Oreochromis niloticus: one gene and its partners. The protein of the gene in region 1 interacts with the protein of each later gene in a pairwise test. Links are inferred from orthologs where the notes say so. Each region holds a gene or a part of one and is shown in the gene's direction. Other genes may lie near its edges.

Evidence for each region.
Region 2: the proteins of appl1 (region 1) and adipor1a interact in binary tests that used the Homo sapiens proteins (3 or more experiments, as listed by UniProt). The link is inferred for Oreochromis niloticus from reciprocal best matches to the Homo sapiens genes APPL1 and ADIPOR1.
Region 3: the proteins of appl1 (region 1) and ube2o interact in binary tests that used the Homo sapiens proteins (3 or more experiments, as listed by UniProt). The two-hybrid records come from large-scale screens. The link is inferred for Oreochromis niloticus from reciprocal best matches to the Homo sapiens genes APPL1 and UBE2O.

The regions. Positions count from the first base shown.
Region 1 is NC_031970.2:15,827,787-15,838,484, reverse strand, and holds the start of appl1 (DCC-interacting protein 13-alpha), read left to right. Parts: upstream 1-5,786; 5' UTR 5,787-5,934; coding exon 5,935-5,988; intron 5,989-7,380; coding exon 7,381-7,479; intron 7,480-7,591; coding exon 7,592-7,651; intron 7,652-9,026; coding exon 9,027-9,098; intron 9,099-9,244; coding exon 9,245-9,332; intron 9,333-9,600; coding exon 9,601-9,642; intron 9,643-10,698. Other genes in the region: kelch-like protein 10, read left to right, coding at 1-449, 945-1,556, 2,232-2,381, 2,951-3,304. UniProt on the Homo sapiens protein: Multifunctional adapter protein that binds to various membrane receptors, nuclear factors and signaling proteins to regulate many processes, such as cell proliferation, immune response, endosomal trafficking and cell metabolism.
Region 2 is NC_031970.2:24,622,593-24,633,272, forward strand, and holds the start of adipor1a (adiponectin receptor protein 1a), read left to right. Parts: upstream 1-6,638; 5' UTR 6,639-6,768; intron 6,769-6,838; exon of another isoform or gene 6,839-6,991; intron 6,992-8,598; 5' UTR 8,599-8,667; coding exon 8,668-8,814; exon of another isoform or gene 8,815-8,823; intron 8,824-8,898; coding exon 8,899-9,012; intron 9,013-9,474; coding exon 9,475-9,646; intron 9,647-9,752; coding exon 9,753-9,939; intron 9,940-10,680. Other genes in the region: inavab (innate immunity activator b), read left to right, coding at 1-11, 254-554, 1,188-1,343, 1,510-2,209, 2,513-2,605. UniProt on the Homo sapiens protein: Receptor for ADIPOQ, an essential hormone secreted by adipocytes that regulates glucose and lipid metabolism. Required for normal glucose and fat homeostasis and for maintaining a normal body weight.
Region 3 is NC_031971.2:27,311,739-27,322,342, reverse strand, and holds the start of ube2o (ubiquitin-conjugating enzyme E2O), read left to right. Parts: upstream 1-5,769; 5' UTR 5,770-5,807; coding exon 5,808-6,242; intron 6,243-10,604. Other genes in the region: aanat1 (serotonin N-acetyltransferase), read right to left, coding at 1,574-1,879, 2,595-2,749, 3,137-3,284. UniProt on the Homo sapiens protein: E2/E3 hybrid ubiquitin-protein ligase that displays both E2 and E3 ligase activities and mediates monoubiquitination of target proteins. Negatively regulates TRAF6-mediated NF-kappa-B activation independently of its E2 activity.

The DNA.
Region 1 (10,698 bases):
TGTACACCATCCCTGGCGTGTCATCTGAGATGATGGACGTCATCATCAATTACGCCTACACCAAATCTGTTCCTCTGACAGAGGATAATGTGGTGCCCATTTTAGCAGCTGCAGACCAGTTCTTGGTCCCGGGGATAATTCGGGCCTGCTGCTCCTATCTGGAGGACCAGCTGTCTCCGGAGAACTGCATTGGCATCTGGAAGTTGGTGGACTTCTACTACTGCCCTGAACTGAGGAAAAGGGCCTTCTTCTACATCCTGCATCACTTTGAAGAAATCATCGGTACCCCAGAGGAGCTGCTTGATCTCTCTGAGCAGCAGCTAGCCGTTGTACTTGAGAACGATCACCTCAATGTGAAATGTGAAAACACAGCATTTGAAGTCATCCTCTTGTGGATTGACCATATGCCTGACCAAAGACAAGGAAGTATCTCTGTGCTGCTGCCCAAGGTAACTTAACCACAAATCAACTGTAGCTGTAGTCAGCTTAATAAAACATGTATCGTAACATGTATACTAACACCCAGGGGTGGCAAACATGTAGTCCAGGCACCATAATTGGCCCGTCAGAGGGTCCAACTCAAAAGTTTTTACTTCAAAACAGGTGTTTTGTATGTATAAAATGGGGTTACGGTTAAAAAGAAATGTCAAATGTTATAACAGCAGAATATTATATCTGAAAACATATCAACACATATGTTAAATTGCTCCCCACTAGTGGTTTAATTTGAATTACAATCAGTTTAGTCAGAAGTTGGATCATTTTGTGTGAAAATCAGTGTTTCCACAACGCACTTGTATTTTTTTACACTTAAAGCAAGAAAAAATTTAGAGGAGTGACTTTTTTTCATTGAGGCCATTATGAGATCACATTAGGCTGCATGTGACTTAATTAAAAATTAGCCTGACACCTTTGCCTTAAACCCTCATTCTTTATTTGTCCAGGTACGGCTCACGTTGATGACCTCAGAATACTTCCAAAACAGCGTCATGAACAATGCCATGATAAAGAACAATGCTGAATGCATGTCCATTATCAATGAAGTCGTGGAGGTGTTTCAAGCTTGTGGTCTCAACAGACGTCCACAATTCATTTACAGTAGCTTGCTGAGCCGGCCACGTCTGCCTTCTTCCATCTTATTGGTCACTGGAGGCAAAAATCGCTCCACTGCACGATGCAGCTATGAGGCATATGATTACCGAACCAACAGCTGGGCCACTGTGGGCTGTGACATTCATCGTGCTCACCATGGAGCCGTTACCCTGGATGGCTTTGTCTACTTAATTGGTGGCTGCAACCATGAAACTAACTTGAAAACTGTGCAAAGACTTGATCTCAGCAGCTCTACATGGCAACTTGTGACACCCATGTACAATGCCCGGTGCTATGTCAGCGTTGTTGTGCTGAATGGATGCATTTATGCCATGGGAGGCTTCAACGGAGAAATATCCCTGAGCAGTGTTGAGTGCTACAAGCCTGAGACTGACCAGTGGACCATCGTGGCAAGAATGAATGCACAGCGAGCTGCAGCCAGTGCCACAGTTCTGCATGGAAAGGTACTTGCAAGGAGACATGACTGAAAGCAGTGACCAAACTATGTTGTTTTCACTTCATTGTTCAGCCTGACAACATGTTTCTTTAAGCCAGACTATAGGAACAATTTAATGACTTTTCAGGCTCAGTGAATGGTGTAATATCATCCTAGAAACAACCACTCCTATCAGAATAGAGGTTTTTCTTTCATTTAGAGCACCATTCTATTGATTTGACACTTGTCTCCAAGGTGGACCCAAACAAAGCCACCATTAAAGAGATAACAGATACCCTTACACTGTTTTCCATTTTTTCTTTGAATTTTTAACCTCTCCCTGTATGTCCTGTAAAAATGCAGTAATTGTTGCCATTTCTTTTTCCGCTATTAGATAATATATCTTTATTCCTGAACCTGCCTACCAAACTCTGATTAGCTCTTCATGGATAATTAGCTACTTTCCCTTTCAGCTGCTTCCTTTTACTACAAATAGCTCCACAGGTTTGATTTTGCAGTTTTACACTTGATACCCTTTCTGTCACAACTTCAAAGGGAATTTGTGTCTGCTGGAATGAAACCAGCAACCTTTCACTTGCCAAGCAAATGTCTTAACTACAACTGTGTTGCCACTACACCGTGGGAGGGGCTAGCGCTTCATGAATAATAATTTGCTCTTAATTTCTCTTAATCCTTACTACAGGTTTATATCTGTGGGGGTTTCTATCAAACTTATAGCCTCCCTACAGCTGAATGCTACAATCCAGACACCAACCTGTGGACCACAATTGCTCCCATGATGTGCAGGCGAAGAGGCCTGGGGGTTATTGCTTACAAAAACCAGATATATGCAGTAAGTGTACCACAGTAATTTTCTTGTACTCTAGAGTAACTTTGCAAGCTTCACAGTTTAAAATAATTGTTATTTCTCTTAAACTGAGCCTTGGCGCAGCTCCCAGTTCATTGCTTAGTTAATGTAGATTGCATACATAAAATCATGCACTGTGCAGGGCCAAACACCTACACAAGCTGAAAGAAACATACCACCATGAATTTGACTTTAGCATTGTAGGGCATAGATTGCATGACATAAATCATCCACAGTCTCCCCACGGTAGTTGTCAGATCTAAAAACTATCCTGGTGCTTTGTTGTCTGTTGCATGTCTTCTTCTTCCTTTACTTCATGTTCCTTTCTCAGGAGCTTCATTTAGACTCTGGTCACTGGGGTTAGGTCCCTTAAAGTGCTGAAGGTTAGAACATGAATACAGAGCAGTCATTCAGACTTACTAACAAATTTTTCCTAGTGGCCAGTCGCAGCATTGCAGTGAGGAAAACATGTCCAAAAGAGTTGTATTTCATAGTTTTTTTTATTCAGTGGTACTTCTTTCTCCTATGAACTCATCCCACTCTCCCACTCCCAGGTTGGTGGCACCATTAATGGGTACACCCCACTGCGTATTGTTGAGGCCTACAACCCTATCACCAACAGATGGCGCCTCCTGCCATCTATGCATTACCCCCGCAGCCACTTTGGAATTGAAGTTGTGAATGACCAGCTCTTTGTGGTCGGAGGATATGGTGGCTATCACTGTATGTATTCTGTGGAGCGCTACGATGGGGAGGCCGGTTGGTGGTACAGTACCTCGGACATTGCGGAGTCCCGCAGTGGCCTGAGCTGCTGCGTGCTACATGGATTCTACAGCTTGGCGGAGAATTTGTTCCCTCGTGATCCCCTAATGCTGCCTAATGTGGATGAGGAAGGTGGAACCTTCTGACTTCAGCTTGCCTGTTATCATAGTAGCATTTTAATTAATTAATAATAAAAGTTTTTTGCATTATTATTACTTTATCTATATATTTGTATGTTTTATGTGTATTGTATTATAGTATGATTTTGGTCAGATTTATATTAATATTAATATTAATATTAATATCATGGATAAGTATACATACAGTATATATAAAGAGAAAGTGGGATAGTGAGGGAGCTGAAGAAAGTAGACAGGACTACTGGGAGGCTGGTTATACAGCACAAAGAAACATAGCAAATGCACCTCTACCTCTAAAGCAGGGGTCTCAAACTTAAATGAGCTGTGGGCCAATGCTGGCACTGTCATCTCATTGGAGCGCCACTTTAGTACAAAAGAAACAAACAAGAAAATATTGTATAACAAGACAAAAATGCAAACATGAGCAAAAATTTTTTTTTCTCACACTTAACTGAAGCCATTCATTGAACTACCAAATAAACAAATTGTTACTCTCTTTCCTCCTTGCTATAATTTTGTTTGTATATAACAAAATAAAAATGCAGAAATAAGTGTACAAATTAGTTTTTGACTGCTAGTTAAAATTGTTTAACTCTCTCACTGAACTAACACAACCAATCCCTCAACATGTTTGTACTCTCTGCTCATATTGCCTTTATATTAAATAATTATTTGCTTTCTAAATAACTTATTTTAACATTGCACTCAACACTAAAACAAATCCTCCCTAACAAAAAAGTTACTTCAAGGGCCAAATTGCTTTATATTTCTTCACTTCAATACATGGGCCGCAAATAGGGGTGACGTGGGCCGCAAGCGGACCCCTGGTGGTGACACCCCTACTCTAAAGGTTTATAGTAAGTGATATCTTAGGCTGGACACTGAGGAAGGAGAAATAACTTGTATTGATTGGCTAGGCAGTGAAATCAAGCTGGAAAAGATTAATCAAGAATAGAATGGAAATGTACTAACAAGTGAAGAGAGTGTGTTGAGAAGATGGAAGGAGTACTCTGAGGACCTGATAAATGAAGAAAACGAGAGGGAGGAGAGGATGTGTTGGATGAAAGTTAGTGGATCGGGAAGTGTAGAGGATTAGTGAGACTGCTGGGATAGAGTGATATCTAGCTCTGAGGCCACTGATGTTTGCAATGGTGATCACAGTGGTCAACAGAAGATGTAGTCAGGAGTCTCCCTGGACTATAAGGTTTGCAGATGTCATTGTGAGAGTATGGAGAAGTTGGGAGAAAGCCTGGAGCAGTGGAGGTGTGAAAATTAAAGTATAGGCAGAAACAAGTACGAGTATGAATGAGAGGGAGAAAGGTGTAACAGTGAGGCTACAAGGACCAGAGGTAAGCTGGAGAAGTCTAAATATCTGGGATCAACTGTCCAAAGTACGGAGACTGCACAAGAGAGGTGAAGAAGACAGGCATGGAGTAGGTGGAGACAAGAGTCTGGGGTGATTTGTGGCAGAAGGATAGCAGCAAGAGTGAATGGTTTGAATGTAATCAGACCTGCCATGAAGTACGGTTTGGAGATGGTGGCACTGACAAAAGAAACAGGAGGAGGACCTGCAGGTGTTAAGATTTTCATTGGGAGTGAACAGGATGGACATGGTTAGGAATGAATATTGTATGAGAGGGACAACTCAGAGTGTTTTGGAAACAAAGTTAGAGATGCAAGGCTGAGAAAGTTTTGATATGTGCAGCGGAGGGACAGTTGATATATTGGACAAAGGATGTTGAATACAGAGCTGCCAGGCTGGAGGAAAGGAGGAGCACAGAGAAGATTCATGGATGCAGTTATGGAGGACCTGCAGAAGGTTGAAGATGCCCAGGATAGGATGAGATGGAGGCAGATGATTCACAGTGGCAACCCCTAAAAGGAGCCGCTAAAAGAAGAAGAGTTATTATTCAGCTCATCATCATCATCATCATTTCTCAACAAACAATTATATTTGTAAACATGGTCATTTTACACTGAAAAAAGAAAATAGGTGAACCAACTTAATTGAATTATTTCAATTGGTAACACCTAATTTAATTAAGTTCTTTGAAATGAAGTTAATACATTAGATAAATCAGTTGTGTTACTCTAATGTATTAACTTCATTTCAAAGAACTTAATTAAATTAGGTGTTACCAATTGAAATAATTCAATTAAGTTGGTTCTTTTTTCAGTGTATATGGTTTGTGGTAATAATTTTGGAAAGTTGAACATTTCAAAATTTAAATATCTGTTACAAAAATACTATCCGTAAAAAACGCGTTTTAAAATATTGTACACAATGTGGCGTCAGTAAATTTCTGAATAAGATTAAAAAATATCTCAACAGGAAACTCGCCGAAGTAGTCGCCATTACGGCTCTGACGTGTACGCGCTATCCCTCTATCGCTGAACTGACGGTTAGAGCCAAAATGGTGAATATTCCTTTAAAAAAATAAGCCAATCACATTGGCTTCATTTTCTTCTATCCAATCCAAAACCCCGTAGAGGGCGTGGCATGTGGAACCGGGAGGAGCTGTTTTGGGGTGTTGTGAATCCGTGTAGCCCAGAAATCCTGAGTGGGAGTTGTCGGACCGATTTGTTGTGTGTTTGTCTTGCGTTTCTCAGAGATCATCGACACGCCTGCAGCAGCTATGCCCGGGATAGAGAAGCTACCGATAGAGGAGACGCTGGAGGACAGCCCGCAGGTAACAGCTCTACTCCCCGAGGGCTTTAGCTAAAAGCTAATGCTAGCCACGTCTATAGCTAGGCTAACTGTCTTTGTAGACTGTTTGCCAACATCCATCGGAATGATGCTAATCGCTAACGGCACAGCTAATCACAGCTTCTCAAGCTGGATACTTCAGCTATGCAGTGGGATCATAAACTGACTGCTTTATGGATCAGGTGGTGGAAGCTTTCGCCAAGCTGTCAGATCCTGAAATGTCAGATTTGGTGCTGGTTAGCACATAAATCAACGGTTAACCTGCAACTTCCGTAGCCACTTCGCTAATCATTCCTCCCTCTTGCCCAGTGATGGTTATCTGGTCAAACACCAGTGTTGTGTTTCTGTTGGTGTCACACCGTGCCCAAAGCTTCAACTGCACTGCTGCAGATGGACAGAAAAACAACTCGAGCAATGATGTTGTTTCCTGAAAATCTTAGGAATAACACCTGCTGTGACATCACGGATTGAGGTGTGGTCAAAGTGTATAAACTTACCTGGTTTGAAGCTGCACATACCCAGGATTTACTTACGTTAATAGTCAGGATAATCTGGGTATCGGCTCTCAAAGCACAGGGAAATTCTTGCTGCTGTCAAGCACAGAAATCATTTGCAAGAGCCAAAAGAATTTGCATAACTGTTCTTTCAACCCTGAAAATGTAATGTGGCTATCTCATGTTTCTAAGAAATTCTAAGAGCATTAAAATAAGGGAAACTAATTTTGACGAATGCCTGTACTCTGATGGACTGAAACTCAGACATATTCATAATACAAAGATAAAGTTTTGCATGATATGTTAAAGTTATAGAGTAGAAAAAAATCAGCTGACTCTATCAGGTTTGGGTGGGAACTTTTCAGATTTGCTGGTATGACTCTGCAGTCTTTGCAAAATCTTTTAGTCTATATAACTAATGATTTATGCTTCATCCACTCCAGTCTCTTATTAACTCTCTCGGTGTACATTAGGCGTCTGCTCTGTTATATTTGTAATTTAACAGTGGGAGCTGGAGAGAAACCAGGTTACCGCAGCAGTAAAATCTGATTTACAGCAGGGTGAAATACATTCAGGATAATCACACAACATGTTGCAACCATTCAGCTTTCAGGAAAACAGCCTGAGAGTGTGATTTATTTCTCACAGTGACTAATGCCTTGAAAATGACAGGGACCAGCAGGATGTTAAGACACACCTTGAGAGCAGCAGTAGTGGGTGCAGGTGTTTGATTTGCAGAAATGGATCCGGGTGAAGTTTTTGGCACTTGCATAGGAAATAATCGGGAGCAAGTAAGCTGAGTGTGGTTTCAAAAACAGATCATGTAGTTAAATCAGCTGCATGATGTTTGTTTGTTTGTTTTTGATGGTTTTTGTTTGCAGACACGGTCTCTGCTGGGAGTTTTTGAGGAGGACACTGCAGCCATCTCCAACTACTGCACACAACTGTATCAGGCCATGCAGAGGATTTATGATGCACAGGTACACATGTACACACACATACACTCACTCACTCACATAAACACAAAATCAATAATGTGCTGCTGTTGGATAGTGTGTGTCCAGCTCTTAGTGCTGCTGATTTGTCTTCCAGAATGAGCTGAGTGCTGCAACACACCTGACCTCCAGACTGCTGAAAGAATACGACAAACAGGTAGGAAACACCATATTTGCCCCAACCGCAGCACAAGTCTACACACTCAAACACTAGATTATTTTATTATTTTTATTATTATTACAAAGAAGTGCTGGACACTAAATATCTGAAAGCTTCACAAATGAATCACCCTTGAACCAACTGAGATCTCAGTGTGGACATTAAGCTTAGGATCAGGACTTTTTCATAGCCAGCCGGCAAAATATAAATGACTAACTTTGTGTTGTGCATGGATTGTTTCACACATTCCCTTGGGGGAAGTTTGACTTGGCTGAGATACCTCACTATTAACTTCTAACTTGGCTAAACTTCATCAATCCTATTTTATAATAATACATTTTATTTGTGAGCGCCTTTTTAAAACCCAAACTCACCATACAAAGCATAGAAGATAAATGGTAATAAGGATAAAAATCAGCATTAGACAATAATTAGAGTCACTTCTCTGGAGAATCGTTTGGGAGTTGAAAGAATTTGGACTGTTTTTAGCTCCCAGTGGTGCCTCAATATTTGACTGATTTTTGGAAACTAAGGAGGATTCATGCAATTCAAAATACTCCAGAAGCTGTCTGGCCCACTGCTGCGGGCCATTCGATCCTTATACAACCGTTGCAAGAGCTTGGTCCGCATAGCCAGCAATAAGTCAGACTCCTTCCTGGTGGGCGTTGGACTCTGCCAGGGCTGCCCTTTGTCACTGATTCTGTTCATAATTTTTATGGACAGAATTTCTAGGTTGTAGGCAAGTGGCGGAAGGCTTCCACTTGGGCGGTCTCAGAATCTCGTCTCTTGAGTTGAGTTTTCTAAAAGTTTTCTTAATTCTGCCGTAGTTTCACTTTTAAAATTTCTTTTAAGCTACCCCAATTTCCCTAAGAATGCTCCGCCTTTTTCGAAGTCACTGTTCTGAAAAACATTTTTGGAGCCAGCTTTATGTGGTCAGTTGGGAGAACTGCAGGTTTTGGCACTGCTTGGTGTAGCTTCCCAGTCTTATCACACAAGCCACAGGCCACACAGTATAATAATAGCCTCACTGTTATAACAGCCTATCTTTGTTATACCAATAGACCCTTAAAAAAGGGCAATAAAATACTAAATGTCAGCCTTGTAACACCATCCATTAAACTTATCACCCTAACTGTAATCCTGTAACAACGAGCCTTCTGCTCTTATCTGTTACTTCACACACATCTGCCTTTACCACACCTCTGTCAAATTTAGTCTGGCCATTCCTGTCTTCTAGAAACAGCTTTGGATCAGCATTATTCAGATTTTTTCTTTACCATAATAGAAAATATCAGCGATTTTAATAACATCCAGAAATCTGTGTGTTAATCTCAGCTGTGTAATGTTTCCTTATTGTCGCTGTTGTTTGCAGCGTTTTCCTCTCGGGGGTGATGATGAGGTGATGAGTTCTACCCTGCAACAGTTTGCAAAAGTCATCGATGAAGTGAGTTAGGTTTGCATGTTTTGATGTCCCAAACAGGCAAATTTGGTGCAAAATAAAAAGAATAAGAAAAACTAGTGTTATATTTGTATTTGTTGATCTGATTCATGGTTAGGATTTTAACTTCCCCCTTCTCTTCCTCTTTCTAGCTCAGCTCCTGTCATGCTGTCTTGTCCACCCAGCTTGCTGATGCCATGATGTTCCCCATTACTCAGTTTAAAGAGCGAGACCTGAAGGGTAGAAAACACTTTAAGATCTTTCACCCAGTTTTGAAACTGCTTTAGAGACGTTAATAATGCATAATGTCAATTTTCAGTTTACAAATTTTATTTTGCCATCAACAGTGACACATAATTTAAATTATTTTGTGCATTGCTATGTTAGTTGTTTACTTTTAATATACATATTTAATATTTATGGTAGTAGAATAAATTTGAAGCAGCAGCCCTTGCTACATAAACAGATGCACTTTACTCTCTAATGTGAGTTTTTTTTGTCTCCCCAGAGATCCTTACACTTAAAGAAGTCTTCCAAATAGCCAGTGGTGGTAAGCTGTACCTCATAAACTACAGTCAGTGCACTTTATCGCCTACACATTACGCTTGCATTGCACCTCCAGTCATGAAAGCCCTTCCCATGAAGCCTCTGGCAGATAGGGTTTGTGCTGATGTTAATAACAGATGAGTTTTGGATCTCTGCAGAGTGATGGGGACTTTTACGTGCTTTACCTTTTAGCACATGCCGACCTCGCTCTGTAACTTGATGCGGTCTGCCACTTTGTGACGAATTTGCTGTGGTTCTAAACACTTCCTGTTTGTAATAATACCACTTACAGCTGGTAATAGAATATTACATTACAATATTTCATAAACTGACTTGCTGCCAAGGTGGCTCCTATTAAACTGGTATGCTCAAATGCAGTAAGCTCTTTAGAATGACCCATTCTTTCACAAATGTTTGTAAAGACAGACTGTATGGCTAGGTGTTTGATTTTATACATCTGTGGAAATTGGACAGAAAATTCCTGAATTCAAACATTTAAAGGTGTGGTTGAGTACTTTTGTACTACATATACTTTATGTCTAGATAAATCACACATGTGCAATATAAAGCCATCTGATTCTGACCCGCAGTGTTTGAAAATTAGCTTAAGAGGCAGTATAATTCTTGGCCAGTCACTGCAGTGAGACTTTATTGCTGTTTAATTCAGGCAATGCAGCAGTTCATATCATACAGTTGACAAGACTTACATAAATGTTCATTTAACATTTAGTACTTTCATTCTAACCTCTAACCATGTTTCCATTTGATCTTGGCAGTATGGCCCTCTGGAGGGGAAAAAAGTTGCCTACACATGAGATTAAGCCTAAGTTTTTATCCTACTGCACAGAAATTCCCCACACTGTTTTTCATACTGGTTTTCAGTCAGTCAGATATATTTTGTATAGAATTAAAGGATACTACTGTGTAGTAAACCTTCATGTCTGTCCTTAACAATGGATATAGCTCGTGTTATCACTCCCCAAACAACACTACAGCAGTTGAACTCTGTATATCACAGTGCTTTCATCTCAGCTTTCATTTAAATCTTTTGTGATCTAGT
Region 2 (10,680 bases), about 8.8 Mb from region 1:
CCAAGATGAAGGTAAGGTTCTTGCTTATTTCTTTGAAAGCGCTTTCTTTCTTTCTTTCTTTTTTCTAGTTTAAAACCCTCACAGAGTTTATCAGATGACTAGTTAACCACAGAAACTTCACGAGAATTCAAATGTTTCCTAAATACTGCCATTCTCAAAGGTAGAGAGTCTGTGGTGACAGTAAATGTTATCCATGCAAAATTCTTTACCATACATATCATTTGTGGGGGGGGTTGTTCTGTTTTTTTCCTAGAAGTCATAAGTCAGTCTTCACAGCCTTCTTCAGGACTCCCTTATCCAGCAGAGACAGATCCTCCCCAGCTGCTCCCTCTGTCCACGCAGTCTTGCGTGGATGGCGCCTACCTTTCTCCATGTGTGACTCCACAGTCCCTGCAGCTGAACCTGAGTCACTCTCCCCATCCAAGCGTTGACTTGAGCTTTACCTCGAGCCCAGCGTATGACCTTCCTCCCATCGAGCACTCCCCGTGGACTGAGTCAAGTCTTGACCAGCCCTACCAGAAGAGCAAGAAGTCGCGCTCGTCCATCAAGATGAGGTAACCCAGGCTATCCATTATAACTCCTTTCCTGTTTATCAAGTTGTGAGGATTGGAATTGGAAACACAAACTATGATTTGTGATGTTATGTAAACGAACGTTGGATTCTTTGGAAGGAATCCAGTTAGATTTTTTCCAAAGAACCCAACGACCAAATGAGGTTTAAAGAACAACAAAAAAAGATCCTTTCACTTCTAAAATCTAAAAGGAAACTGTTAATTAACACGTTAACAGTGTAAGAAATTCCTTTACTTCAAAACAGGTCATCTTCATCTACTTTAGAGAAGCCATTTTTAAAAAGTAACCTTTTTTTCACTACAACCATTATTGCTCTGAATTAAATAGAACAGTAGTCAGTGTGCAGAGCCAACTGAGAACTGTAACTCTATACAAATGTATATATAGAAACTCCTGCCTCTGATAATGTGTATTCTTCTATTTGTTTTCATTTCTAAAAGGAACAATTGCTGTTTGCCACAGTATTAAATCACTCAATGTTTGATATGTCAAAATGCATTTGTCAAAGTGTGTGTGCGTATATGTCCACACTGTCCACCCTTCATGTAGTACCCACATTAAACATTCATAAGAAATATTGTTATATTAATTACTCTCCTATGTTGTGTGTTCAGCAGCCCAGCCAAACCTGAGTCTTTGCCACCTTTGGATGCTTGTTTAGCACAGTCGGCTCTGCCTGTTCAACTTTCCCATCTAAAGCTGAGTCGCACCCAGTCAAACAGTACACCCTCCACCCCAGAGATGCGAGTGCACAGACAGCTCTCCCTCAGGTAGCTATACCTCACACATATCTGCATGTTGAAATTGCACCCTGTGTGGTGCTCCTTTACTGAATGGATTATTTAAAAATATAGTTAAAGTTATTTAAGCCTCATGCAGTTTCTTTGCAAAGTAGCTTTGTTATTGTGTTTGTTATAATTATTGTGGTTTGCACAGGCTGTCCTCTCCTGACTCTGCATTTGAAAAGGAGCGCGGTCGGCCCCGAGGCCCAAGGAGGCGGCTGACCGAATACTCAATAACTTTACCAGAGACTCCATCCCCTACACTGAACTACAGAAGCCATGCTAGCTCTGACGACAGCAACTCTGAAAACTCGTTTCCTTCTTACAATAGCTCCCCGTGTCGGGAATTGCCCGGTGATTTGCCCAAACAATTTCCATCTGCATTCCTGCTCCCCTGCCCAGTTGGCAGCTATGGACCTCAAGCTTTCCCACATGCTGGCTTTTACCGTAATCCCCGGCAGCAGCCCAGTCCTGGTATTCCAAAAGCCTATTACAATGAAGAACGGGTCTACAATGAGATGGATATGCCACGAAGCTATTTCCCCCAGCAAGCTCCTTGTTCCTCGAATAGATATGATAATAGGTATAAAGACACTGCAGTACCTCACCAGAGAGTACAGAGGCCTTTTGCTCCTGATATTAGAATCACCCCGCCAGCAAATTGGGACCATCCACAATGCCACATGAATGGTCTCCCACGACAAGTAGTGAACGAACAGCTAAAGTCGTGGCACAGACGCAGTCAGCAAAGAGCACCCAGGTCTCGTTCCCTTGACAGACAGGGAGCAATGCGGATGAAAAACGTGTTTGTCGGAGAGTCGCCCTGCTACCAAACTCAGCAGTACCATGAGCAGGTAAATGAGCTAAGCTTATTCGTTTTTTTCAAAGCATTTCATTCTGCTTTCTTTAATAGAGTCATAAGTAGGTGAGAAATTGAACAATACATAAATGCTGATATGATACAGACAAAATGTTTGCATTGTGATGATCTGACACAGTAACACTGTACACCTGTCTCCGTTTTTAAATGCTGGCAGCTGTTTGAAGTGAAAGTGAACAATTACTTTGTGTTGCTGCGACAGGGAGAATACTCTGCTTTTTACTGCTGTACGTACGTCTCCACATGTTCATCTTTTCTTTCTGTTGATCATTTCCAGGTTATTCAAAGAGGGACTCTCCACAGAGCTGCAGAGGGTGCTCAAGGCCACTGGTTTGGAGAGGACGCCTCTCACTTTTACAGCCAAGTATAAAGAGAAGAAACTTGGATGCCAAACTTAACTCTGTTAATGTAAAGGCAGCATATTTTCCCATTATACCAAAGTGAGATAGAAAATTGATGTAGAGCATTTTTTTTATCTCTATCAGGACTTCTCATGAAAGCTTTTGTTATCCTGGAGTGAAAAATTGGAGCGTCTTACAAAACAATGTTACATGGCACAGCACTAACTATAGTCTCCAGGTTACCATAAATCAGACATCCTCAGAAATGTGATTGCAGTGTTTGTTTGATTTTCTTTGTTTTTTGGCCATTTTAATATTTATAGGTTAAGCATTGATCTGAATGCCAGTGAATTACTATTAATGAAGCAGCCAGCTAAATTTAGGTCAATCCATTGATTAAACCTTGCAGGTTTCTTATCATTCCTTCACATCTGAAGCAATCAAACAAAATGAAAACTGGAGGAAGAGATGACATGAGTTCCTACGAAGAATCAGCTACCAAAATGTGCATAATGTAGTCAGATGTAAAGTTGTATTAGAAATGAATCTGGGATGAATTGATAACGCCAGATTGATATTGAACTACCTTAGGTACTTTAGATCCACACTAACATGTTTTTGTTTTAAAACACAATAGATGTGCGTCCTGCATCTATAACATGCAGAATTAAACAGGGTTAAAAAATAATGCTTTATGGTGCCTTAAATGCAGTAATGTGGACATGATGTATAAATGTATTAAAATGTGTTTTAAAACAAGAAAATATATGTGTTAGCACGGCCTTAATGTAACATAGATGTGGTTATCTCTAGCTTAAAACAAACCAAATAATTAATCATTTTGAGAAATGTACCCCCAGACAGAGAAGCTAAGTTTCTGCTGTTTGCTAGTTGGAAAACTAATATACTCGTTTTCATCCTACCTGTATGAAGGAAAGGAGTCTACTGCTAAAATAATGCAAATTAGCAACACACCCTTTATAAGTGTGTGTTTGGGTTGTTTTTTTATCATGTTACCTGAGATTAATTAAGTCACAGTTTTAATGAACTTGTGCTGCTTTAATTCAAGATCCCAGGTTTGATCTCTTTATCACATACTTACGGAGGCAAATTTGTCTCAATGTTATACTTAACTGGCACAGCTACAGAAACATTTAACTTGAACTAACAGATTTAAACAGCTAGTTGAAACTAGACACTAACTCATTCATGTGGGATGGTGGCAAACTGAGCAGAGGCTTGAGGCTTGGCAGCTATTAGCGTGTCAAATTGTAATGTTTTGAACTTCATCTGTGCCTTTACCTGCGTCTGAGAGAGCAGTTCACTAACCTTTCTGTTAGCAGCAGTAATAGTTTGACACTGAGGTAGACACAAACACTCCAAGCCCACCACTCTCAACCAAACAAACTTCAAATAATAGATATTTGAGAATCAGAGTCATGTAGAGCGAATTCAGCTACAGATACACACTGACTGGTCTCTCACAGTAATCTATTTATCTTAATTTATTGTGATTTGCACCACTGGACCCGTGAAAAGTCAGACTTGAAATTAAATAAAATGTGGACCAGAGTTTGCAAAACAAAACAGGTGTCTAGTTTACAAAAAGAAAAACAGACCACAATCATGTTACCCTTTGTGTCTCTTTTTTTTACTGTCTTTTTTATTTATCATTTACTGTAGTTTAAGTGGATTTATTGTGTTATGTTGCTGTTTTTAAAAAAAACCTGTGAAAGTGTTTTCCCTGTGGAGATGAATAAATATTATTGTTGAGTTTAATTAGCTTATATTGTAAATGGACTGATTCTTATATAGCGCTTTTCTACTCTCCCGGAGTTCTCAAAGCGCTCTATACAACACACCACATTCACCCAGTCACACCCATTCTCGCAAGCACTACCTCTATACTGAGTGCTTTCTAACTAGACTCACACACATTCATACTCCGATGGATGCATCGGAGAGCAACTTGGGGTTAGTATCTTGCCCAAGGACACTTGGCATGCAGACTGGAGGAGCCTGGGATCGAACCTCCAACCTTCCGATCAGTAGGTGACCTGCTCTACCTCCTGAGCTACAGCCACCCCGAAGGTCCCGTTACAACGGGACCTTTGTAATACAAATATTTCCTGAAGACATTTTGACATATCAAGGTAGGGAAAAAAATTGATGTAAATGTACGCAATTATGGCCATATCGTTGCTTGAATTATTCATTTTTAAGATGCTGGCTCACTATCACACTGTCTGGTCATCCTCAGACACAACCGATCATGTGACTTGGACTATCACTGCCTTTTGTGCAATCTACCTTTGAAAGAGCAAGGATGGCATACGCTCATACTAAATATGACAGAGAAATAACAAGAGGACTGACAAAATATTAATTATGAAGTTAAGTGTTTTGGGGATGGTTTTACATTTAGAGTAAATGTGCTGATGCTAAAATTTTTATATAAACTTCACAAATAAAGAAAACGGTGTGAGATGAAGAAACACACTACTTAGTCATTTATGATTAAAGACATCCTCAGAAATGTGAGTGAAGTGTTTTTGTTTTTCTTTGTTTTTTGGCCACTTTAATATTTACAGGTTAAGCATTGATCTGAATGCCAGTGAATTACTATTAATGCTATTAACATTAATTACTATTAACATTGAAGGGAGAAACCCACTTTGATAAACTGTAAATAGAAAATGTTTGCATTAATATTTGAGACATTACCCATAACAGCAGGTTAGCCACTGTTTTATATCTGAGATGCACAAAGTGTAAAGAAAAAAAATATTACCATGTATAGTCTTAGTGTTTCCAGAAAACTGCACAAGTCTACTTTTAACCCCCTTAGTCATAAAAGGCTGATGGGTTATTATCAGGTGGCGTGGACACCCACATTTGTGAACATAATAACTGGAAAACGAGAAAAAATAGGATTTTTAAATTGTTACTATAGATGCAATAACTGAAAATCGTGGAGGGGTTTAACTATTGGTGATCTTGACTTAAAGGTCAGAGGTCAAGTTTTCTGAAAATCTCATGAACATGATAACTCAAGAAGAAAGTTATATGAAGTTTCACATTAATACAATAGCTGCATCTATAGGAGGCTGGGGGGTAGCACAGGAAGGCACAGGTATAATTTTTTTTTCTTAGCGTGTGCTTTGTTGGTCTTCGTTAATCTTAGTTTTGATGTACCACACACCATAATGCATTTTAAACACAAGCACTGTCTGTGTTAAAATATATTTGAAATTACATTTTGACATTTACAGATAGAGGCACTGTACCTCTGAGTCATTCGAAAGGGATTATAGCAAGGTTGATATAGTTAGAACTATAAAAACAAAATTAAAGACAAGCGTGTGAAAAAAAACTATTTTGGTTAATTGAAATAAAAATAGATACTGAACAATATTGTACACATAAATTATACAGAAATTTCCTTATATTTAGCGGCTTGACACAACACTTCAAAAAGTGTTGTACAAACAATAATAAAATCCTTCCAAACTGGAATAATTGAAACGAGTTAAATTATTGCTGAAACGAATAAATGGCTAAAGTCAAAACAAAAGCTAATTAGAAGAAACGAAAGTGTAATAGTTATGCACGATAGTAAATTAATTTTTATATCATTTACATTTAAGATTAAGATTATTTATTTGTAATTTTAAAAAGATGCGACAAAATTACGTTTGGTGACTGTCAACGGACGACGTGGGATAAAATTTGATTTATGCAGAGCTATATGCAACAACAGGAGCATATAAAAACATTTTCTTGACTGTTAGGGCAGCAGACCACATCAGCAGTCAGGACTTATTTTGGTTATTTACACGAGTGCAAAGATTCCAACACTACGCAAATTATGTACCATATCAGTCCTACCAGTTATTGTGTAACGGGGTAGGGGCTGCACTATTGTCTGTTTTACATTTGTAAACATTTACATTTAAAAACAATATTTTTACATTGTGTAAGTCATTTTGGAATTGCACTGACTAAAATTAATTATTAAAAACCTTTTCTGACCTCGTGAAGACGTCTGACTTGTTCTCGACAGTCGAATGGGTGCTTTTATTTTGAAAGGAGAACTGGATTCGGCTTACAAAAGAGATTTCAACTTCCGGAAAGAATTGTGTTTCTCGTCGGTAAATAATTCACCTTCCTGGTTTGAAGGCTACCCTGCCAGGTAACTTTTCTGCTTTAAATGAACTTGTCATAAAGGATCTTGGGACAGTAAAGCTTCTAGATAATACTTCAGACTGATGAATTCGTAAATACTTTTATTATTAAGTTAATTCTCTGAAAATTGTCCCCTCTTCAGCGACAGCTCGGCGCTAGCTTAAAGGAAACGTTAGCAACCTGATATTATAGCACCTCAGACCAGCTCATTATAAGCGTTGTCGGAGAAGGTAACAATCAATGCTTTACTCCTTAAAAAGTGTAAGAAAGCGTACTGATACTGAGAATTTGTATCAAATCCTCTGTATCTTGGTGTTGTTTACATTTTGTGCTCCCTGTTCCGTCTGATGCTGTGCTAACGTTAATCAACATCCGTCTGGGAGCCTGGGCTAAACAGTAAAATGGTTAAATGTGTTATGTGTGCTGTCAGTACTAGGGTTACATCATAAATCGTTATCCTGTCTGAAATAAGAATTGCCGTCGTGCTGTACTTGTCTGGAGACGTACAGCTAACAACAAGTTTAGCCACTTCTTTTGTTTCCTTGTTATTTTTCGGTCAGTAACACAGGCGTTTCATGCGAAGCTCACATTAATGTCCATTTTTTTAGAAGTACTAGACGTATTAATTGCACTGTGAGTGCTAATTATTGAGCTGCTGAAGCCCTATGAAATTACAAGTAGATGGGTTTATGGCAAAGACGAGTTATTGAAAACCTCTTAAGAGGTTTCATTTAGAGTGAATGTAGAAAATCAGCAGCATTTATCTGTAATAAAGTGATTATTTCTAACCAGTTTTGTTAAGCGGGGTTCATTTCCTGAAGCACAGTGGACATTTTGTTTATCAGAAGTGCAGAAATAACAGGAAAATGTTTAGCTTTAATCAAAAAACAAGGCAACACAGACAGATTGCGTTCCTTGTTCTCTTTGTTTTTCTACAAAGGCTTATTCTCAGTTAGATAAACCTGAAGCAAGCCAATGCAGACTATTTATACTAAATGTTTTATAGTAATATAATATAGCAGCTTACTAATAGTGACACAGTAACATGGAAACAGAAACTTCACTTACAAATGAGGCCAACTGAAGCAAATTGGACTGATGGCTTTATTTTACCACAGGCACAAAAAAAAAAAGAAAAGTGTTTAACATCAGCATCAGCGTTCATAGGATATACCATTCATTTGATAAATGTAAACTTAACCTGTTACATTCAAATCTGCTTATTTAAATATGTAGGTAGGTAGGTTAAAGTCGGTCACCTCTTTTCTCCTCACTGACAGGCTCTGCCTTCTCAGTTACTTAAAGCTGATCCCCTTTCAGACCAGGTTTTAGGTGACATCCCTGGTCTAGAGCTCCATATTAGTGGACATACTTGTCAGGTTCTAAATAAAAAACACAAAATATCCTGATTTGCTTTGTTTAGTTCTTTTAAATATTCCAAATTCAAGTCGTGGACAAAGCAGTTCATTTTTATGTCTTCAGGTTGTGCTCTGGGTGCTTCGAAATGAGTCTTTTATCCTATACAACAGAGATATCAGCCAGTAACACTGTTGGCCTCTTGCCTCCAGTTATCATCTCATAATTAATTCTAGCTTATTTGCATTGTGAGGCATTTTTGTCTGTAGATAACGTAATATTGGTCTTATCACAGATATTCGTTTTTTAATTGTGGTTGTTTTTACTCTTCTTTTATTAGTTTATTACTTTTGTTGCAGTCTTTAGTTGTGTAGTTTTAATCACTGAGTGTTTCGAGGACTGAAGAGAACTGGAGTCAGACTACAGGAAGGTGTTGACATACTTAGATTGTAAAGCTGATTGCAATTCTGGTGCCCCCCAGGAGGAAATTCAAGTATACCATCTGAAGCAGAATACATCGACTGTGAGTGGATCATCAGGCAGTCTCCCTATGTCAGGCCGAAACGGGTCTGCCAGTGATGCAGACTGCCGGATCTCTGAGGACTGCCAGGTCCCAGATGTTGAGCTGATGGAGCTGGGGCCATTGCTGGAAGAGGGAGGGGCGCGGCAGGCAGTATCCAAAAGTGTCCATCCTGAGGTAGGAGGACTGTTTCAGAATAAGCAACAAAGAAAGAAGCTGTTATTTCTCTGTAACTTCAGTAGTGTCGTAACCTCTTTAAAGGGAGCCGCAATGCTTGCTGATGAGGAAGAGGAGGATGATGAGGTGGGTGAGGTTCTGACCTTACCACTACAGGCTCACCATGCCATGGAGAAGATGGAGGAGTTTGTACATAAGGTAAAAAAAAACAAAAAAAACCCCCAAAAAGTCTTTTAATGCTTAAACAGAACTCGTTGAGGGAAAAAGGCTAATGAATTGGCCTATTAAGAATATGTCAGTGTTCTTAATAAATCACAAGACTCTGTGTTCATTAAGTAAGTAGTCCACACAAGAGCAATGATGAGCACTTCTTTTTTGTACTGAAAAATGTCTTTCATATCTAGGTCACAGTTCTGTAAGACACATTTATGGAATACTTCTTTTTTTTTTTTTCTTTAAATATTATTGGTTTGTTTGATTTTGCTTCAAACTCTCAGACATGTTTCCATATCATTTTTTTTTTTTATTCATACACAATCTTTAACATGCTGAATATAACTCCTGTATTGTTTTTCATTTTTCTGTGTGTTTTATTTGAAGACCCTCACAATAAACTCAGAATTTATGCCTCTGTGAGCAAAAGTTATTCTTGTTTTTCAGGTTTGGGAGGGGCGCTGGAGAGTAATCCCTTTTCATGTCCTGCCAGAGTGGCTGAAGGACAACGATTACCTCCTGCATGGACATCGACCACCCATGCCATCCTTCCGGGCCTGTTTTGGAAGCATTTTCAGAATTCACACTGAAACAGGAAACATCTGGACTCACCTGTTAGGTGAGCATTACAGACTGATTAGGAGCAGATAAAAATTTTCATTATGGTCAAAAATATTTTCATCTGGGTCATTCTGCATATTTCTAGCCTGTTTTGTCTTTCTCAGGGCTGATCTTATTCCTGTGTCTGGGCACATTAACCATGCTGCGGCCCAACATGTATTTTATGGCTCCGCTGCAAGAGAAGGTTGTGTTTGGGATGTTCTTCCTGGGTGCTGTGCTTTGCCTCAGCTTCTCCTGGCTTTTTCATACGGTCTACTGCCACTCTGAGAAAGTGTCTCGCACATTCTCCAAGTAAGGCCTCACACTGTTAAACGGTGCTTTGCACATCATGAACGAATAATTTCTGTCAGACTAAATAAACTCTCATTTGTTTATGGAGGCTGTTAAAGTTCAGTCGCATCTTCAAATCACACATGGAACTCGAGCTTGTCACCTTGAGTGTTGTGTAATATTGATTAAATATTTATAACTCTGTGCTAAATCCTCTATAGTTTTTGTTTAATCATCAAGTGACTTTAGTATTTATTTTAAAACATGTTTCTGTTTGGATGTTTAACTGATACACACACACACACACACATATATATTACTGTAAGAACAGGAGGAGCTAGTTATTTGATCCCAACCCTTTCTGTCCATGTTCCAAGGGTCATTTAACAAGAACCTGACCCCAGAGTTTGTCAGTGCTTTTATTGATCTGTGGTTAAAGATGCAACATAGGAGTATTTATTGTGGCAGACTTGAAGCATCACTATACTTCATATACCCACAGCTCATGTTTACATAGCAGTTATCATATTTCAACAATATATGTTTTGAACAGACCTGGAAACGAAGTTCTGTTGTTTTTCTTTTTCAGAAGCATCAAAAAGTTTTTAGTTTTTGCTTCTTCTAGATTAGGGGTGTCGCAGCATAAGGCCTGGGGGCCAGAATCAGTCCGTGAAAGACTCCAATCTAGCCCACTTGATGGCTTTGAAAAATATGAAGCACAGAATGCATTTTAGACTTTTAACTGTATTTTCACAAGTTTTA
Region 3 (10,604 bases), on another chromosome or scaffold:
CCAAATAATGTCCCCTTTTTTTCCCTATTTATTGGAACAAAAAGGGAATGCTAAAATGAATTAGAGGAGATGTTCACGGTACTGTTATATGTGAAATTATGTGTATTGAAGCAACCATGTGAAAATAAATTACAGTCTGTCAACAGTACGTTTGTGTAGTTTGATTTCATGTTGTTTTCCCAAACCTGACTGCACTTACTCCCCAGCAATACACCCACCATATGATGAACTGCTGTAGATGTATGTGGAGAAAAGGAAGACTTACAGAGATTACTTGATTTTTATTTATTTACATATTAGTGCAGGGGGACGGTATTGGCCTGGCAAAGACTCCAATCGGGCCTGCAGGACAGCTTTGGAAAATGTGAAGGAGAGTGTACATTTTTGGACCTTTTTTAACTGTAATTTTTATACATTTTACATCTTTTTCTACTGATAGGCCTCTCCCAAAGCCATTTATACTACAACTAAGTAATCAATTAACAATTAAATAAGAAAAAGTTCCTGTTGTTTAAGATATCACAGGGATTAAATGTGTAGTTAAGTACCTTTACATTGACAGAAAGTGGAGTTTCAGTCGTCACTTGGTTGTATATGGCCTTTGTTGTAAAATGAGTTTGACATTTCTTGAAGGCTGAAAGCTGCAGAGATGTTTCCTCAGCTGCTGTTTTCTTCAGTCAAGAACAAACTTTAAATGTCAGTTTTTCAGACACTGGTCCTCAGCAATCCCAGAAAAATGTAAAAATGAACATCCCCCTTCCATGTTCAGCAGTTATTAAAAATGTAAATAACATATGAAGACAGAGGTTAGAAAATAAAACCTTTATTAGAACAAAACAGTGTAAAAATGAGTTTGTCTTGATTTAAGACTCCGAGGCAAAAGTGGTGGCTGTCAACAAGAAAAAGTTGACGAGCCCATAAAGAAGACAGACTTTTAAAGTGCCACACGTCCGATTTATAAACGGTCAGTCACAGGATCACTGAAGTCTTAATATAAATTAAATGTTAATATTTAGCCTTGCTGTGATATCTCTCCTTTGTCATTTTAACTGTTGAAGGTGACTTTGTTTACTTTGGCATGTAGTTATAAAATTACTTTAGTGTCACATAATCAGTAATCTTCTACAGCTGTTACATATTAATGGAGAATTACTTAAGAAATTAGCTTTATTATTTAAACTTGTCCTCACTGTTTAAAAAAAGAAGACAAGAAGGAAATAAAGAAGGCAGCAGTTCTCTGTTGGATACAATTAATAAATGTCCAGCGTTTATCAAAATAAAGATTTGGGATTCTGTTTTTTGTGTAACTAACTCACTAAAATGCAAATCAAAGCTTACTTTCAGGACACTTTTGCAAACGGCTGCTTTTAGCATCTCTCTGTTTTTGGCTCTCTGCAGACTCGGGGTCAGATTTCACGCCTCACTTCCTGCCTAACAAACAGGCTTCACTCACAGACAGCGATGATCACAGACACTCACTGCACGGCTCATCACGTGCCACCTGTTCCCCGTTTCTCAGGGGTCTTCACCTCCATTCACAGCTATAGAGAATCCACATCGAGTCTGTGTCTCTTCAGCAGCCACTGTTGCGCCGCATGAAGGCGTGGCCCCTCACGGGGTAGAACATCTCTGTGAAGTTAAGGGGCCCCACTGTTATGTTGCTGGGGCCCAGCACTTTAAAGCCTGACTTCTGGTAGAAGGGGACCAGAAAGTCCTCACACATGAGCACGGCGCGGCGGACGTAGGGCAGGCAGCGGAGGTACTGCAGGTAACGCCACATCAGGATGGAGCCTTTTCCCTGCTGGCGGAAGGTCCGGTGGACGGCCAGGACGTGGATGTGAACGGTGGTCCCGTGAGGCTTGTGGAGCGTAAGGGCGTCCTGGAGAGGAAGAGGAGAGCTGTCAGAAGAAGTAAAACATCCTGCTGGGTACCCACAGAAATATTTAAAGCTTAAAAGACCCCCAAAAGCCATCTTTAATAATTAAAGCTAAATGAAGTGCTCAAGTTTAAATGACTGTGGTTTCATTAAAAATAATTTGATATTGGAGTTAAAATGACTTCAGCAGGATTCATCATCATAACTTTTAGTTAAAAGAATGAAAAGTAAATATGAGAATTAAAAGATGGTGAATAAACTCTTGAATGATAATGATGATTGTATTTGGGATTAAAAGCTGCAGTTTGTTATTTCAAAAACTAAAATATTTTGAAAATATATCAGCTACATGTTGACTCCAGCCTGCAGTCCTCGAATATTAAATGTTTATAGCAAACACAGAGTCTTTCATTCTTGGTTGGATTCACATAACTGTGTCATCAAGAAGAAATTTAAGATTGATTTTTTTTTTTTTTAATTGTTTCTACTTTGTGGAAACTTAAAACTCGTACAGCTGTAGCCTTAAAAGAAATTGTCAGGCAGCTTCCATGATTATTGTTGTTCTCTCTTCGGCTGGCAAAAAACTCATCTGTCGGCAAGATTTATCACCATCCACTGAATTTTATGCACTTGAAGCGCCTCTTAATCTGTGTTGAATCTTTGCTCGACTCTCAACCGGAGATAAATCACTGTCCAGGTGTCTTCCGCTCCGTCTTACCGTGGTAAGCCTCTCCTGGTCCCACAGTGAGCCGATGATAAAAGCCACCAGCCGTCCCTCCTCGAACCAGCCAAGAGACAGCTCAGGACACAGAGTGAGGAAGTGACGCACCTCGTCCAGGTGGAGAGGACACTCACCGGAGACAGAGATGAAAGCTGTGTGAGGAGGAGGAGGAGGAAGAAGATAAGGGTCACGGTTGCCACAATCAGACAGTTGTACTAGTTGTGCAGGATGTTAAAGCTGAGCGTGATGTTCCCAAATGTACTGACTGCCAAGCACAAGGAAAGTGTACAGGACAGTTAACTGAAGAGAATCTACCCGTGAATAACATCAGTGATGGCTCAGGTTTGTAGAGAGCTTTCTATTCAGTAGGAGAACATAAATAAAATCTGTGTTATTAGCTGAGAATCTCTCCCCGCAGTTTTCTTAAAAGACGCTTCGCGTGCGTAAATCTGCATAAATACGCGAGTCCTCTGAAGAAATTCAGGCAGTTATTTAAAAGCGCCATTGCTCTGTAACGTAAGTTCAAAGAGTCTGCTTACCTTCTCTTTCAATCTCGAACACACTGATGGCATCTTCCGGGCTGAGGGAGCGGAACTCGCTGGCCGGCAGCGTGTGGCGGCGGCCCTGAGGCACCGGAGAGCGCATGTGGAGAGGCTTCAGGAAAGGCACTGCGCTCACCACAGACATAGTCTTGATTATTCCCAGAAAGTTTCACAGGAAAGCTAAGAGTGCTGCGCTGACAATTTCTAGTCTGACTTCGTGTCAGTCTCTTTTTTAACAACGAGATGAATTGTCTGGGTGTCCGTGATCCGTGCGTAACGGTACCGTGAGAGCTGGCGCAGACTGAACGGAGAGTGGAGCGCTTCCAGTATTTATACCGTTTGTAATCCTGAAGTGAGCTGTATGGATAAACCCTTTACTCCCCGTGAGTAAACTGAACCATAAACATATTTACAGGCGGGATAAGCGTCATGCCTCCATCAGACCAACCGATTTGGATTTGCTGAGTTCCCAACACCAACAAAATGATTTTCTGGCTGGTTAATCATCAGAACGTCAGTGATGATTAATGCTGTCACACTGAGGAGATTGCGTGTTTCTTAACTGGGCCATCTTAACGGCTCGACTTACCATTCTTCATGTTATTTCTCTGAAGGAGACTTTTGTCTATCCATAGCCCCTTTAAGCAGAGTTCACGATTTTTCCATGGGTTATTTTTCCAGTTCTGTAAGAGGATTAGGCTACAGGATGTGTAGGAGGTTGTTTGTCACCTGGTGGGGGTTTAAGTAAGCTCCCTGAAGAATTTATCCTCTCCAAACAAACTTTTACCCTCACGAGATGAAATCATAAAATAATTTACTGCATTTTCTCACGTTTAGAGGGCATTTCCCATCAAATTAATGCAAACTGACACCAAGAGCAGGACATACAATGCTTAACAAATATGTTAGAACACCACCTAAATGTAAGGTTTATGCCACAGTTACACTAAATTAACAATACTGATGATTAGCAAAATCACTTTTATGTTTGTCTAATAGTAAATTCATCAGTGTGCTTATTTAATGCTAAAACATAATTATTGTTGTCATCCTTGAATTTACAAAAAAAAGCTTTTTATTAAGATAACAAATCAAACCTATTTATTTACAGTGCTGAACAGAAAAATTAGTTTCAGTGGTTGACTTTTGTGCTCATGTTTATATGTCAGGTGATGTAATAAACGTAATGGGGACACCTCCTTTTGTGACACTACACAGCTCTATCCCCACATTCTTCCTAAAAGACAAATTTTACATGTTGTTGTCTGCAAAACTGCAACTGTGCTGAAGATGTTGAGACAGTTGCGACAGTGCTGTTCAGCAAAGTAAATATAAAGAATCTGTTATCTGTGTTTTCTCCTGTGTGTTTAGATATGAGACGGTTTCAAATATTGTTAATGCCGTGTTTTTTTTCTGCACTCCCTAAAGGTTTCATCAGTTGTTTTAAATAGAAGTCTTACAAGAACCTGTGGGACAGTGGTATGGTGGTCATCACTGTTGCCTCACATCAAGAAGGTCCTGGGTTGAATCCAGACTCTGCAGGGTGTTTTTTCCCCCTGTGTTTTTGTAGCAACTTTTTGGATACAATGTCTTTGTCACAAAGACATGCCTGGGTTGGGTTATTCGGTGGCTGTAGGTGTGAATGGTTGTCTTTCTCTACATGTGAATCTTGTGATAAACTACTGACCTGTTCAAAGTATTCCCTGCCTCTCACTCTGTCTGAGATAGGTAACCCTGAATCAGATAAGTAGAAGAGGATGGATGTGTTGAAGAAAGTGTCACCTTTTAATCTCCAGAATATTTCCTGCTTTTCAGTCTTTGCAAATTTATAGACCTGTTCCTTTAAAAACAGATTAAACTGTCATGTATTCTATCTCCTGTAACACTAATGGGCTTTACTTTGTAAATGTCTTTGAGAACTTGGAAACTGAGAAGATTATCATAACCCCCCCCCCCAAAAAAAACAAATCAAAAACAAAACAGATTTATCCTTAAAGCAAGCAACTGATGTTTAATTATGAGGCACTGAAAGTTAATAAACTCAGGTTACTTCAGATGTATTTGGGGTGGAAAGACGTTAAATAATAAATTAAAGGAAAACTTTCTTTTATTGTTAACTGAGCTGCATGTTTATTTGTATAGTGTTCACTGTGCAACAATATTAAATAATTTAGGTAAGATCCACATAGGATCATGGATCTCATTTACACACACACACACACACACACACACACATAGAGAGAGAGATGTCTTTTTTTAACTATCGTGACTTAAAAAAATATAATTAAAAAGGAAACATAACTAAATATAATGAAATTTATAACAATAAATATTAGAAATTTACATCAGAAAACGAAATGTAACCATTAAAATATTGGCGTAAAATAAAAATGTACGCAGTTAGAGTAAGTTAGAGAGTCTCTCCCATCACCTGATTATAAATCATACTTTACGTACAGCCTGCGGTCTTTCTCGGTGGCTCCTGTTTCTGGCTCTCGGCACCCCTCAGTGGTGACAGCGGGTACTGCGTGATGACGCTGCCACACTGCGCTTCTTACGTAGCCTGCGTAGCTACGTAAACACGTGCGCTTCGCTGCTTCCAGGTTACAGTTTTTTTTATTCCACCGTCATCCTCGCGCTCCAGCATCACTCCCTGACAACAGCGGCGATGGCGGAGCCCGTAGCATCGGATGCAGCGACCAAGACAGACGCAGCAGCAGCGGCATCATCACCCACACCGGGCCTCTCTCCCGTAGCCAGCCCGGGCTCTGAGCCTCTTTCCATGGCTCTCTCCCCCACCGCGGACGGCTCACAGCGGCTTCTCTTCTCCCACGACCTGGTCTCCGGACGATATCGCGGCTCAGTCCGGTTTGGCCTCGTACGGATGATCCACGGCGAGGAGGATTTTAACTCGGACTCGGACCTCGACGATGGCGGAGGGAGAGGCGGAGACGGCGGCGGCGGTGGAGGAGGAGGCGGACGAGTACCGTGCGGTTCGGACACTGAGAGCGCCGTGGACACCCCAAGTCGGCCTCTCGGGAGGGGATTTGTCCGCGTCCAGTGGTACCCCGAAGGTGCAAAGCAGGACATCAGGGAGACAAAGGTACCACACAGCTGCTAACGTGCTCACTGTTTACCCCGGCAGTCGGTGGTTATCTCAGCCTGACGTCAGGACTGCTTTGTTTCACCTGCCTGTTGTGGTTTTTCGGAGAGGGGGTGATCGGTGGACTTGTTACCCAAGCAGTGATCAGCTTCACCTGATCCATCCGACTAAAACCTGCAGCCTAGCTCGCTAATTGGCTAGCATTCAAGCACACACGCTAGCTAGCAGTTTAGCTCGTAGCCTCATGTATCTCAGCTGGTCCCGACAGGCTGAGCAGGGTTGATCCACCTGACTGCAGCCAGCTCGCTGCTAGTACACCACACACACACACACACACACACACACACACACACACCACTGACCGGACAGGTAGGGGCTTGCACAGGTCCTGTCAGGTGCACCTCCCTGCTTAGACACCTTACACCTATTGATTAGCTCATCCTTGACTCAGTGTAGATCCATAGCTGGGTGTGACCTGGCCTGAGACCAAGCTTTGTGTGTGATAGAAGATCTCTTATTATTATATAAATATACACATCTGAGTTAAGTCTGTTCCCAAGCACCGTGGTCAGACCAGGAGAACGAGGCTCTAATCGTTGCCTTGTCCTCTCTATCAGCTGCAGATGTCTTCCAGCTCAATCACAATTAATGAATTAGTTGAACAGCAGGGATTTAATTGGAATTTTTTAAATGTTTTTAGAGCATTTTTTTTCATTTACTTTTCATTGTGTTTATTATCTAACTTCATTAGTTTAGAACATTGAAACCAAAATGGTGCTGCTTCTTTTGCATCATTGTGAGCATATTTTTGCATCTTTCTTGGCTGCTGGTCAGATATTTTAATATAATTAAATTTTGATAGTGCAGATGTGCTGCACTGAGAGTTTATAGTCTATGGCTGATCATTTCTAATGCTCCTCTGTAGCAGGGTTTTACATATCTAACACACTACTTACTTCCACCCAATTATCTGCTCGATCTACCTCCATGCCTTGAGGTTCTGTAGTGTCCTTTTAGTCATTTGAAACCAAATCTTGTTGATTACTGTGCTTTGTATTTTCTCTGTTGCTTCAAATGTCGGGAACGTTACCAAAGAAGATTTGAATTCTTTTTTTGCACAAGTTCTTTCACTATTTATTGATTGCTAAAACAGTTCTCTTTTAGGCTTCGGTCACACAGACCTAAGACCGGTTGGAGAGTGGTTGCTGGAGGTTGCTGTCTGTTGCAAACTGTATGCTGCACCAATAACCTCCTTGTGGTTGCTGCAGCCGCCCGTAGTTTCCATGGAAGGTGTCAACATGCCCGTATTTGCCAACAAACCATTGAGCGCTAGTGAAATTTGCGCCGCTCACCTTTAATGTAAGAGTTGTACCTTACTGCTGAAACCACCGTGTTTCAAAAGGCATAACTCTTTACTTTGAAGGCAAACATTAGCTATTTCCACACAAGTGTTGCACTCTTCAGTTTCACAGCCACTTGGCTAATAAAGAAGTCAGTGTCTTCTCTGCAAACGACGAGTGACCACAGCAATCACAAAGAGCTTTTTAGTGCAGCACCCTGTCTGGGCATCAGTGCCTGGAGATTCGGTTAATTCATAGTTTCAGATCATCTTTAAGGACATTAAACCTAGTGTAAGTTATATTTTTTAATTTTTAATCAATTACATCACTCCTGATGATACAGGACTTTTTTTTTTTTCTTCGTTGGTGGTGGTTGGACATGATGAACCTGTATGTTAAAAAAAAAAAAATCAGCTGACATTGTTGATCAGTAGTTTGTTCATACTGCCAGTATGATCAACACTGGGGCGATTATGTGGAGTGCAACCAATATGAATCAATACCTTTTAACTGAGATATCAAGGTGATTGATTAAAATTCTGAAGGCTATTGAGTCTGAACTTAGAAGGTATGAAATATAGATTTAGACACCTGGACGCCATTCATTTGTTTTGAAGTTTAAAGTCTGCATTTTTAAAGTAGACAGCAAATATTTGCAAACCTCTGGTGATTTCTCTGAGTGGTAGCAGTCAGTCCAAATCAGACTGCAACTGCTTGCAGAAAGATTGCCACCCATCAGGTAGGATGAGCCCCCGGTTTGTAATATTCCCAAAGTATTTGTATTTAATGTATTTATTTAATGAAATATTGATATTTGGCATCCCGTATCGAAACAATATAACTGTGCAAAAATACACTGACACTATGCTGTATTGATTTTGTTTTTTCTTTTTTCCTTTTTCTCACTCATAATAATTAACACAGAGTACCACACGAAAGCATGAATGCTGGTAACAGTGCCAGCCTCGTATGTAGACACTTAGATTTTAAGCTTTACAAAAATTGACCAGAGAAATCTAAATGAGCCGTAACACTTTGACTGTCTGGTGCAGTCAGCTTCTGCCTGTATTTGTCTAAGTGGCCACGCCCTGAACTCCAGTATCCTTTCTTCTTCTTCTTCTTCTTCTTTCGGCTGCTCCCTTTAAGGGTCACCACATCTGCATCCATCTCACTCTATCCCTCGCATCCTCTTCTGTCACATCAGCCCCCTGCATGTCCTCCTTCACTACATCCATGAACCTTCTCAACATCCTTTGTCATATATATTCACTATCCCTCCTCTGCACATGGTCCAACCATCTCTGCCCTGCCTCTCTAACTTTTTCTCCAAAACCGTAACCAGAGCTGTCCCTCTGATAGCCTTATTTCTTCTGAGCATCTTCAACTCTGCCACTTCCAGGCTGTCTTCCTTTTTTTTCTCCTCCAAACCATATATCATACAGGTCTCACAGTCATCTTCGAAACCTTCCCTTTTGCTTTAGCCACTATTCTTCTGTCACAAATCACCTGTGACACTCGTCTCCACCCACTCCACCCTGCCTACATGCTCTTCTTCACCTCACTGTCCTTACTTCTGCTATTCAAATGGATGAATTACAAAAAATTCAGAGGTTAAAACCATTTTTCTTCTGGGCAGTTAACATGCTTTTTAATGCTGTAAATTCGAACATTTTAACATGGAAGTCTGTAGTGACTGGATTTTGGAGCAGCCTCGAGGAAAAGCAGTGTGGAGCGCTTCAGCATCAGACCTTGAATTCAGCCGAATCTGGACAGTACATATGTGATGTTGGCACAGAAAGTCGCTAACCTCTATCGGTGTAAACTACACTCTCAGCGTTTTAAAACCTCTTGTCAGTTTCAGTTCAGTTAGACATGTAAATTGTTGCGTACATCTTTGTGCAGTTTTACCATTTTACCACCAGATAATGAGGACATTTTAGCTGGTGCAGACTTTGCAAACCTGTTGTTCTGTGCATCCTCTAAGCTTCTCTGGGGTTCTCCTGGGCTTTGTGGAAAAGGGTCACGGAGTTTAAAGGAGGACAGGCCTGGAACAAGCTCACACAGACTCATTTCAGAGACAGGATGTGACCAGAAGAAGCCTATTTTAGGGCCCAACGCTGCCTTGCTTTGTCTTTCCAGTTAAATGAGAAAAGTTCTGGTCTGAGTGTCATTCAGACCTCAGTCAGAACAAAGGCAGAACGACGCGCCCCTTAAACAATGACGCCGATGTTTACGCAGCACCATCTCCTCTGTGTTGATGTGCACATGTATGGGTTTCATTGTGTGTCGTATTCGTGATTTCTCCTGTGCTTGTCTGCACGCCCAGTCTCAGCAAGCTCATTTTGCATAAATCCCGAGAGTACGGTTTTACATCCTAATCAATAATTCATGATCACATCCTGCAGTATGCAAAGTTGCACATCTTCAAGGTGCTGTTTGCACAAAATTCCAACTTTTTTTTTTTTTCTGCAGGCTGCACCTCATGCTCACTTCACGTTTTCTCTCAGGAGCCATCAGTGGAGGGAAAAGCGATGCTTAGACTTACTCTCGGGTTTCATAAAGCAGACATTTTCACAGCGAAATAGGATTTTGGACATTGCGACCATTATGTGCAAATTCTAAATGATACAAGGCGATTAGTCTAATGTAGTTTCTTTGTTGCTTCATTTTAGTGCATGAAAGTGAAACCGTTCAAAGTTATGTCTGAAATGCTAAACTCTCTGCTTGGACAACGAGGAAGCCTTGCAAAGATTTACAACATACACAAACGTAGTGTTGCCAGAAACAGTATGAGAATAAACAAAGTGGTCAGTTTAATGAAGATTTGTCAGCAGGCGTGGTGCCCCATCGAGCAGCCTCGTACGATACTGGTATTACTTTTGATATTAAAAAAAAAATATCACGGACAAGTGAGCTTATCTGCATGTTGCAGAATCTTTTAAAAACTACATTTGTGGGACAGCTGCCACACCACACACCCTCCTGACTGACGTTATTGATTTTTAGTATAACGCACATTGAG